Linked DNA regions of Saccharomyces cerevisiae S288C. Changing the gene in region 2 together with the main gene of any one other region gives a genetic interaction. Each region holds a gene or a part of one and is shown on either strand. Other genes may lie near its edges.

The links.
Region 1: mutations in LAM6 (region 2) and PNS1 together harm fitness less than expected from each alone (positive genetic interaction), as found in Saccharomyces cerevisiae (one large-scale study listed by BioGRID).

Annotation. Positions count from the first base shown.
Region 1 is NC_001147.6:636,367-640,577, forward strand, and holds PNS1 (Pns1p), read right to left. Parts: upstream 2,193-4,211; coding exon 573-2,192; downstream 1-572. Other genes in the region: mRNA transport regulator MTR10, read left to right, coding at 1-391; YOR161C-C (uncharacterized protein), read right to left, coding at 2,755-2,901; YRR1 (Yrr1p), read right to left, coding at 3,194-4,211. UniProt on the Saccharomyces cerevisiae protein: Probably involved in transport through the plasma membrane.
Region 2 is NC_001144.5:276,996-281,765, reverse strand, and holds LAM6 (Lam6p), read right to left. Parts: upstream 2,905-4,770; coding exon 823-2,904; downstream 1-822. Other genes in the region: RFU1 (Rfu1p), read left to right, coding at 145-747; RGR1 (Rgr1p), read left to right, coding at 3,140-4,770.

The DNA.
Region 1 (4,211 bases), on a different chromosome or scaffold from region 2:
CTCAACAGTGTCCATCGAGATTGTTCCAGATGAATGGAGGAAGCAAGTTATTAACGAAGTCGTGATAGCCCACGGTAACCAATTGATATTAGTGTTATTCATCGGGCTGGTTACTACTTTTGAAAACACCGCTCATTCAGATGCCATCAGTTGTATTGTAAAATGTTTAAGGATATTGACAGAGGCAAACAACAACGATGCCACTATTTGCATCGATTGGATTTACAAAGTGGTGGAACAACTTGGCCAAGTAACCCTTAATGAAAGAGATAATTTGGCGAAGGCCGTGGTTGAGGGGTTGAATTCAAAGGATTACAGAAAGGTGAGGGAAGGAATTAGGGCGTTTGTTGGATGGTATTCAAGAAAGAATATCAATTCGAGGTTTGAATAGTCATTTAATAAATAGCATATTGTTAATCTGCACAGAATGTATAAAAACAAAATAAACAATTTAATAAAGATAGAACTTAAAGGTAATTGAAGTAGAAAAAATTAAGTATTAAAATATTGTAATTAAATATAGAATTGTTAAGAAGAACAAGGAGAAATAGTGACATATGATAAACATCTCTTCACACATTCTGGTGACTCAATTTTCTGAGTACATCAGGATATGCCCTAAAAATCTCATCAAACCTATGAGGGTAAGAATGATGGAAGACCTCCGGGTCATTACCAAGAGCAACAAAGAAAGTTGCAGTACCGGATCTAATGGCTTCTGTTGCAATGTTGCAAATCTGTAAAGCAATAACAAATGAGAATGCCATTAGGGCGCCGTTGTAAGCGCCGTTCGAATTGTATTGAGGCGAGGTAAACCTTAGATACAAGAACGTGAACAAAGCGGTCATATAACTAGCAAACATTGAAAATAGACCCAGTGCAATGTTAATTAAATTATCATTGATTAGGGCGTCCATTCCCTTTTCTCTTAACATATACCAGGTTTCTTTGGCCGCTCTTAAATACGGTTTACCATAAAGAGCGATGAACGAGTATGCATAATGATTGAAATACTCGGCGAGCCACTTCAGAAAGCCGATAATCCAGTCAAACACCATAAACAAAATCTGGATGGCAATTTGACCGCCACCGCTGGAGGTAACATCGTGTCTGATCATTTGCAATATTTGTCTCAACAGGTCGATCAAAGCGACTAGCAAGGACCCAAAGCAAATGGAACCGAACGAGTAAGTCATGGCTCTCTTCAATGCTCCAAATGCGGGCCACCTTGGCATTCCTTGGTCAGACTTTGACATATAATACCAGCTGCCAAAGACGCCAGAAATAACACAATGTATGACGTTTCTTATTACTTCAGAGATATAATAGCCGCAGAAAAAAACCACAACCAAAACACCAATCAATTTGGAATGCGAACAGCTGCCACCAGAAACGTCACAGCCGCCATTCGAGCTATTAGGATCGTACTTTATGTACGTAGCCACAATGACTGCTGAGAAGAGAAACCCAAACGCACTAGCAACTAGCGCTCCAACAAATGAAACAAAGAAGATCTGTGGGCATTTCTTCATGGCATCGACGACGACTTTCAATACCGCCACAGAAAGGGGAATTCTAGACCTCATACCCCAGTAGCACCACGCGGTCATGAACGTGAAGACTAAAAACACAATACCTGCAGACCAGTACCTCAAAGACATGTACATGATGGCAGTCCCAAGAGAAGCCACTAGGTTGATGACCATACCGCAATATATAAACTGCTTCGGAAAAATTCGACAAAGTGTGAGGCCCAAAACGGAGAATACTAGGGCAATAATGCACACGAAAACTAGCAGGATGGCAGCATTGGTGTTCAGCGTACCAGTATTCACACCATCGTATATTCCGGAACCCGTACTGCTATAGGTTTGGGACCACGCTCTTAAGGTTATGGCAGCAATGGCGATGAATCCGCCTACCGTGCATAGGAAAAAAATGGTAAATGGCCAATCGTTCCACCTGGGCTTGTTGTCATTTTCAGTAGGAAAGGCCTCGTCGAAGCTCCCTATAGGAGCCCCACTCGTTTTGGAATTTAGATTGTAATATTGATCCTGTCTAAAATGGTACGGCGTCTGGCCATCGTTGACATTCGCCGCGGCAGAGTTCTCGGAAGAACTGGGCGGCCTATGGTTGGGATCATATGCTGGAGGAGGTTGCGGAGGCCTCTCGTATTTTTCATTCAATGGCATGACGTATTAATGTACCGATAATTATGGTCACTATTGATGGCCCTAATCGGAAATATGCACCTTCAAGTTTTTTATAATGCGCAATTAAAAAAAGTAAGAAAGGAATATAGAAGCATTCAATTGCTATGATTACCAATAAGTAGCGATTACGACTGAACTACATTCAACGAATATCCGCATATCAATATATATATAAGGGCAAGCTACGTATAAGGATATATATGTGATGATAATGTTATATATAGCTGGCAATTACGCCATTACGCAAACAGAAAACCCCTTAAACCCCTCAAGGATCTACCGAAGGAAGAATCCTGTTAGAAGGGAACATACCAACCACAAAAAAAAAGAAAAAAAAGCATTCTGCAGTAATTAGCCGTAGTGGACTTTGTTTTTCTTTCTGCAAATGGCCGTGCGGTGTCGGGCGGGGTCTCTCACTCAGTACCATTACGTGTGATAACTCCGCTGGCGAGGTGCGCCGCTCCCTGCAGGCTCTCCGAGAGGAAATCTCTTCGCGTATGCTTATCCTTCATCAAGACGTCTTGGTAAGGACAACATTGCTCTACAGGATGTCGCCGCGTATGTCGCTCGAAGGGTAGTGAATGGCTGCATGTAGTACATAATTTGCGAAAAACAGTGGGCTTGCCAAAATCTGCCTCAGGTGACAAGCCATTTTTCCAGTGGGATGATCTACTCGTGTGTAAGACATGTCGAAACGCACGCTGTTGCATGAAAAGTAGTCGTACGGTTGTATGTGTGGTGTACGGGTGTAAAAGTAGTCAAGCGTATGGCGGTAAGCAGCGATTCAGCAATTCTATATCTGAATAAAGTGAACTTTTGTACCATCTTTAGTAGCCAGTTGATTCATTTTTTTCTGTCAGGTGCGGCCCATCATCGAAGTGGGTTGATAATCTGGGTAATTATATAAACATTTTGATCATAAAAAAGAACTAAAAAAAGGCTTCAAAGTAGTCGCGCCGCGAGATTGCCTCGACTTAGCATTAATTGTCTTTGTAATCATCGAAAAGAGTGGAAAATTCAGATTGATTAATCAACTCTTCCCAGCCTGAGTTATAATTTGCCCAAAATTCATCTGTCAGCATCTGAATGATCTCTGATTGACTCTTTGCATGGTTCTTAGTTTCACCAGGCGAGGGTAACATTGGAATTATTGAGGGCGTGGGCGTTGGAACTGCAAGGCTGAGATCCCGCTGCCTATCACTCACAATTTTAGCTTCTGATGATGGATTATCGCTCTGCGGATCTAGTTCTTGTTTGATTTGTGCTAGCCATGTTTCCTCGGTCAACTTTCTGAATTCAATAACGTTGCCAAGAATAGTCCTATAGGTCCTTTCAATAGCTAGCTCTATCACAAATTGTGATGATCTATGCATTGTGCGTATTAATTCTTTATTTCCGACCGTGAACAAGCGATCGAAGATTGACGAGTACAAGCTCATTGCTGTACCTAAAGATAGATCCTTGTCTAAAGGAACAGTCAATTTCGTCAAATCCGACCATCCAACTTCCATATCGTTGGATAGACATAGTCCATTTTCGAAAAGCGTCAACTTAAAGTAGATCAGAGAACAAAAAAACACCAATGTTTTGGAAAAAAGCCCTGCCGTGAGGCTCATTGATAACGCCATATGTGGCGGTAAGTGCGGGTTGGAGGCTTCGAATTTCTCTGGGTAAAGTGCTTTGTCGATACGATAGCATCGAATTGTGGTATTCACAATGATGGAAAAATTGATCAAAACCAATTGAAACGTATTATTTTTGGATTCTATGTTTCTGACTTTCAGCACAGAATGTATTAGTGCATAAAACGACAATAATAGTCCGACTGCCATACTTAAAATTCTACTTTCCCTTAATGGAACTTCTTCCGATATATTTTCACCTGTGTAATGTCCAAGTGGACCAAGTTCTTCTTCTACAAAATTGATAATTCGCTTGGAATAAGCTTTCAAATCCGGGAATTTATCTCTATCATAAAGAGTTAACAACATTGGCCTT
Region 2 (4,770 bases):
ATCAATGGTTAGATAGATAATATTAATAACATACAAGACAATTTTTGCTTCGATTAAAGTGTTGGCACGAATTATTGTTGCGGTTCACCAACCACTATACATTTTTTCTCTTCCTTCCGCATCTTTATCTGGCCCCGGTAGGTCATGAAGTCTAGTAAGCAATTGGTTCAGGACGCTAAGGATTATCGCTTCAATCCGGCGATACCATTGAGAATTTACCTGAAAACATGCATCGGCATATTGGAAAAGGCACAGTGTGCGTTCCAGGCCAACGACTTGTCGCTGTCGTTTATTTATTATTTTAGATATGTGGATTTATTGACTAACAAACTATCTAGACACCCTGAGCTTTTGCGCATGGATGCGTCGTCGTCATCGTCGTCATCGTATATTCATAAAAGAGAATACCTGCAACTCATAAAGTTGGAAGTGCCTGCGGTCTGCAAAATTATTGAAAGCTTACGCACCCAAATTGATTCTCAATACAGCAAATTGCAAACATCACTCGCTAATAATATAGCCAAGCCGAACATAAACGCAAACACAACTCCCGTGCAGGTGGAGCAACAACCACTGCCGAAGAAATCTTTCGACGAGTATAGCTTCAACCAATCAATTTCTTTTTTCCAGAAAATTTCAAACGCACAACTTAATACCGGAGCAAGCTCTCAGAGTCAGGCCACTGCCCGTGATGAAGCCTACAGACTGAATTATCCGGAGCTACCACGCCTTACATTCTCCACATAGCATCCTTTTTTTTTTTTTTTTTCCATACCATACGAACATACATAACCTTACATACAATATTACATGATTACTCTGTTACAACACGTCTCCCCTTCTTGGTCTTGACCATTGTACTTTGGCTGGTATGTCCAATAGAGTCGCGTGCGCTACAACTTCGTCCTTGTGGGTCATGAGGTTCGTCAGCTTATCCATCTTCTTGTTCAACTTCATTAAATACAGCAGATTTAACACCAAGAGCACCAAGATTATTATGTTCACCCAGTTAAACCTCCATCTGTCGCTGCCTATTTCTGAGATTTCCGCCTCAGCTTCTGGTTTCGACTCCGGCTGTACCATCGTCAGCTCCGGTGCTGCCACTTTCCTAGGTGATCCAAAAGATGTAACACTGGGCAACGGCTTGAGTGTATCTGCTTTTTCTTTGCTCAATTCCACGTATTTCTCTACAAATTCTTCGACTAACTTTACCAAGTCCTTAGTGGCGCTAATTTGTCCATTTTTACAATTGCTCTCTACCATTGGCTTGATCCAACTGGATGCGTTCCAGTCCACCCAAAAACTTATTTTTAATATGCAACCTTGCCCCTGGTCATCCCATCGGAACATGTACCTCGTTCTGGTGCTGAAACTGGTACCACTAGGAACATTTGGTGTTCTTGTTATACTTAAAACATTTATGTACCTTTCCCAGTCGCAGTGTAAAAGAATTTCCGCTACCTCACAGTTTGTGGATTTGGGCCCCACAGGGAAATGCAGCTGTTTGGTGTATTGGAATTCTCTGTAATGTTGTCCATCTTTATTGACTTTTTCAAAAGTCCCTATGTGTGAGATGTTGGACGAATCTTGAGTTTTCAAAAAGCTTAACTCAAAAACTGGATTATCTTCATTGAACATCATAATGAAAAGTAGGCCGGGTGGAACGCTGAATTGACGTTCCAGAAGCACGTATTCATTATTAGCCTCAGGTTTATAAGGAAAGTCCATGGTTTCTTGTACATGGAATGGCCCCTCATATTGAAATGGTGCGTTTGGCTTTAACCTATATACGGGCCTACAATAATAAGTTGTTGAAGAGCCTAAAGACGATGACGACGATGACGACGAAGATGAAGAAGATGGCGATGCTCTTGGTGTGCCCATGTAATCGTCCACGGACCTTATGGCCTCCTCGATGAGCATGTCGTTCTCGCTCATGTAGGAAGCCCTGCTTGTTGGTTCAGTAGTGGTTGTCGATATGAAATCGTTATATGCATTGGTAGAAACATTGTTGAATATGGAAGAAGGGGTCGATGATATTCCCTTTTTCTTGGAGACCCTCTCATCAACCTCCAAAACGTCATTGATATTGGTTAAGTTTTCCTTTGACCAAACTCTTGTAATCAATTGGAAAACCTCGTCTCTCGCTATGAATCCGGAAAAAGTGTACCTGTTAGTCACGGTTTCCACCGAAATAGCACTTGAATTTGTGGTGACCTTATCTAAATATTTAATTTCATTCAAGGGAATCTGTAACTTTGCCATCCAGTTCAACACGGTTGAGTTGAAACATAAATGTGTGTTGGAGAGATAGATTCTGCCCTGATAGGGGAATTCTCTGTGGAAGTAGCAGAAGTAGTCCGTAATAAGTCTCGTATTAGGAGCTAATGGCTTGAACATTTGGCGGAATTTTTTATTAGCCTCCTCGGATGCAAACTGGACCTCAATATTTTTGACTTCATTAGTAACCGTATCTTGTGAATTTGATTTTAGGGAAAACGTGCTCAGTACGGTGTCAAAAAATGATGATCTCGACGAACAGTTAGAAATAGACGGCCTCTTGGCATCTCCATCAACCCCATCACTGTCCCCATTCGTCGAAGTGGCCATGATAATATTATTTACAGACGTCAAAGCTGTCTCGCCACCGCCACGATGATTGTCCAAGATAGAATTAACATCAGACAAGTGCGGGTCTGCCGGCGACGATTTCAACCCATTCAATGGCACTGAACCATCCCTACCGGGCGAAATCAACATATGTTCGGTAGAAGACTTCTGAAAGCTCTTACCCTTAATAAATTTTCTGGCACCATCCATGCCACCTTCTTCCACCACCGGCTTCACTGCATTCAACTCATTATCCATAGCGTCACCAAGCTCGCGCATACTATCCCCCCACATTCTACAATTCAACGTACCATGCTCTCTTCATTGCGTTCAATTATTCTCTCTAGATGCCACTAAATTTAATTACTTTGTCCCGCTTATTGTTAACTAAACGATTGTCCCATCGCACGGTCGCTGGTTCAAGTAAAAACGGTGAATTTTTCAATTGTTTAGTAGAGGTCTGTTGTAAAGATCATCAGAAAAAGAGTTAAAAAGTGGCAGGAAAGTATAGGGTTTTCTTGGCTGGGCAATGACTACCACGATAGGATCCCCACAAATGCTGGCTAATGAGGAGAGACTTTCTAACGAGATGCACGCACTGAAGAACCGGTCCGAGCAGAATGGGCAAGAGCAACAGGGTCCCGTTAAGAACACTCAACTGCATGGCCCTTCTGCAACCGACCCGGAAACTACGGCCACCCAAAAAGAATCTCTAGAAATGGTACCGAAAGATACAAGTGCAGCGACTATGACAAGTGCGCCTCCGCCAGCGTTGCCGCATGTTGAGATTAATCAAGTCAGTCTGGCATTAGTAATAAGGAACTTGACGGTATTTACAATGAAGGAACTTGCTCAGTACATGAAAACTAATGTTCACACCCAGGCAAATGAGCCTAACTCCGCAAAGAAAATACGTTTCTTACAGCTGATTATATTCCTAAGGACACAATTTTTGAAACTTTACGTGCTTGTGAAATGGACCCGTACTATAAAACAAAACAACTTTCACGTACTAATCGATCTGTTGAACTGGTTTAGAACGACTAACATGAATGTCAACAATTGTATTTGGGCTTTGAAAAGCAGTCTAAACTCTATGACCAATGCTAAATTGCCCAACGTGGATTTGGTCACCGCTTTGGAAGTTTTGAGTCTTGGGAGGCCAAATCTACCTACACACAACTTTAAATTAAGCGGTGTCAGTAACTCTATGGATATGGTAGATGGAATGGCCAAAGTTCCCATTGGATTGATTTTACAGAGATTAAAAGATTTGAACTTGACTGTCTCAATAAAAATTGCATTAATGAACATTCCTAAACCATTAAACAGCTATCATATCAAAAACGGTAGAATCTACTTTACTGTCCCTAATGAATTTGAAATCCAGTTATCGACTGTTAATAGACAGTCCCCTCTGTTTTTTGTGGATTTAAAATTGTTGTTTAACACGGAAGCTGAACAAACTGTTTCAGCAGTTACAGAAGCTACTTCGACTAACGGCGATAGTGAGAACAATGAAGAAAACTCAAGTTCCAACGGAAATAACCTTCCTTTGAATAAGCCAAGATTAGAGAAGTTGATCAATGAAATTCTTTTGAAAAGTAATGATCCATTATTATCCCTATACAATTTTCTGCACAAATACGTGTTGACATTACAGCTATACATGGTTCATAGAGAGTTTTTAAAGCTGGCCAACGGCGGTAAATTTTCCAAAAGTAATTTGATCCATAACTATGACTCTAAAAAAAGTACAATTACAGTTAGATATTGGCTGAATGGGAAAATGGACAGTAAGGGTAAGATCACTATTGGCATTCAAAGAACAACAGAAAGTCTTATCTTAAAATGGGACAACCAGAGTGCATCAAGGGCCAAAAATATGCCTGTAATTTATAACAATATTGTATCTAATATCGAAGGGATTTTGGATGAAATTATGTTCAATCATGCTAGAATCATCAGATCGGAGCTGTTGGCAAGGGATATATTCCAAGAAGACGAAGAAAATTCGGATGTTCTATTATTTCAACTCCCTACCACATGTGTTTCCATGGCGCCTATTCAATTAAAAATTGATTTATTGAGCGGGCAGTTTTATTTTAGGAATCCTACTCCACTATTATCAAATTACGCGTCAAAGATAAATAGAGCTGA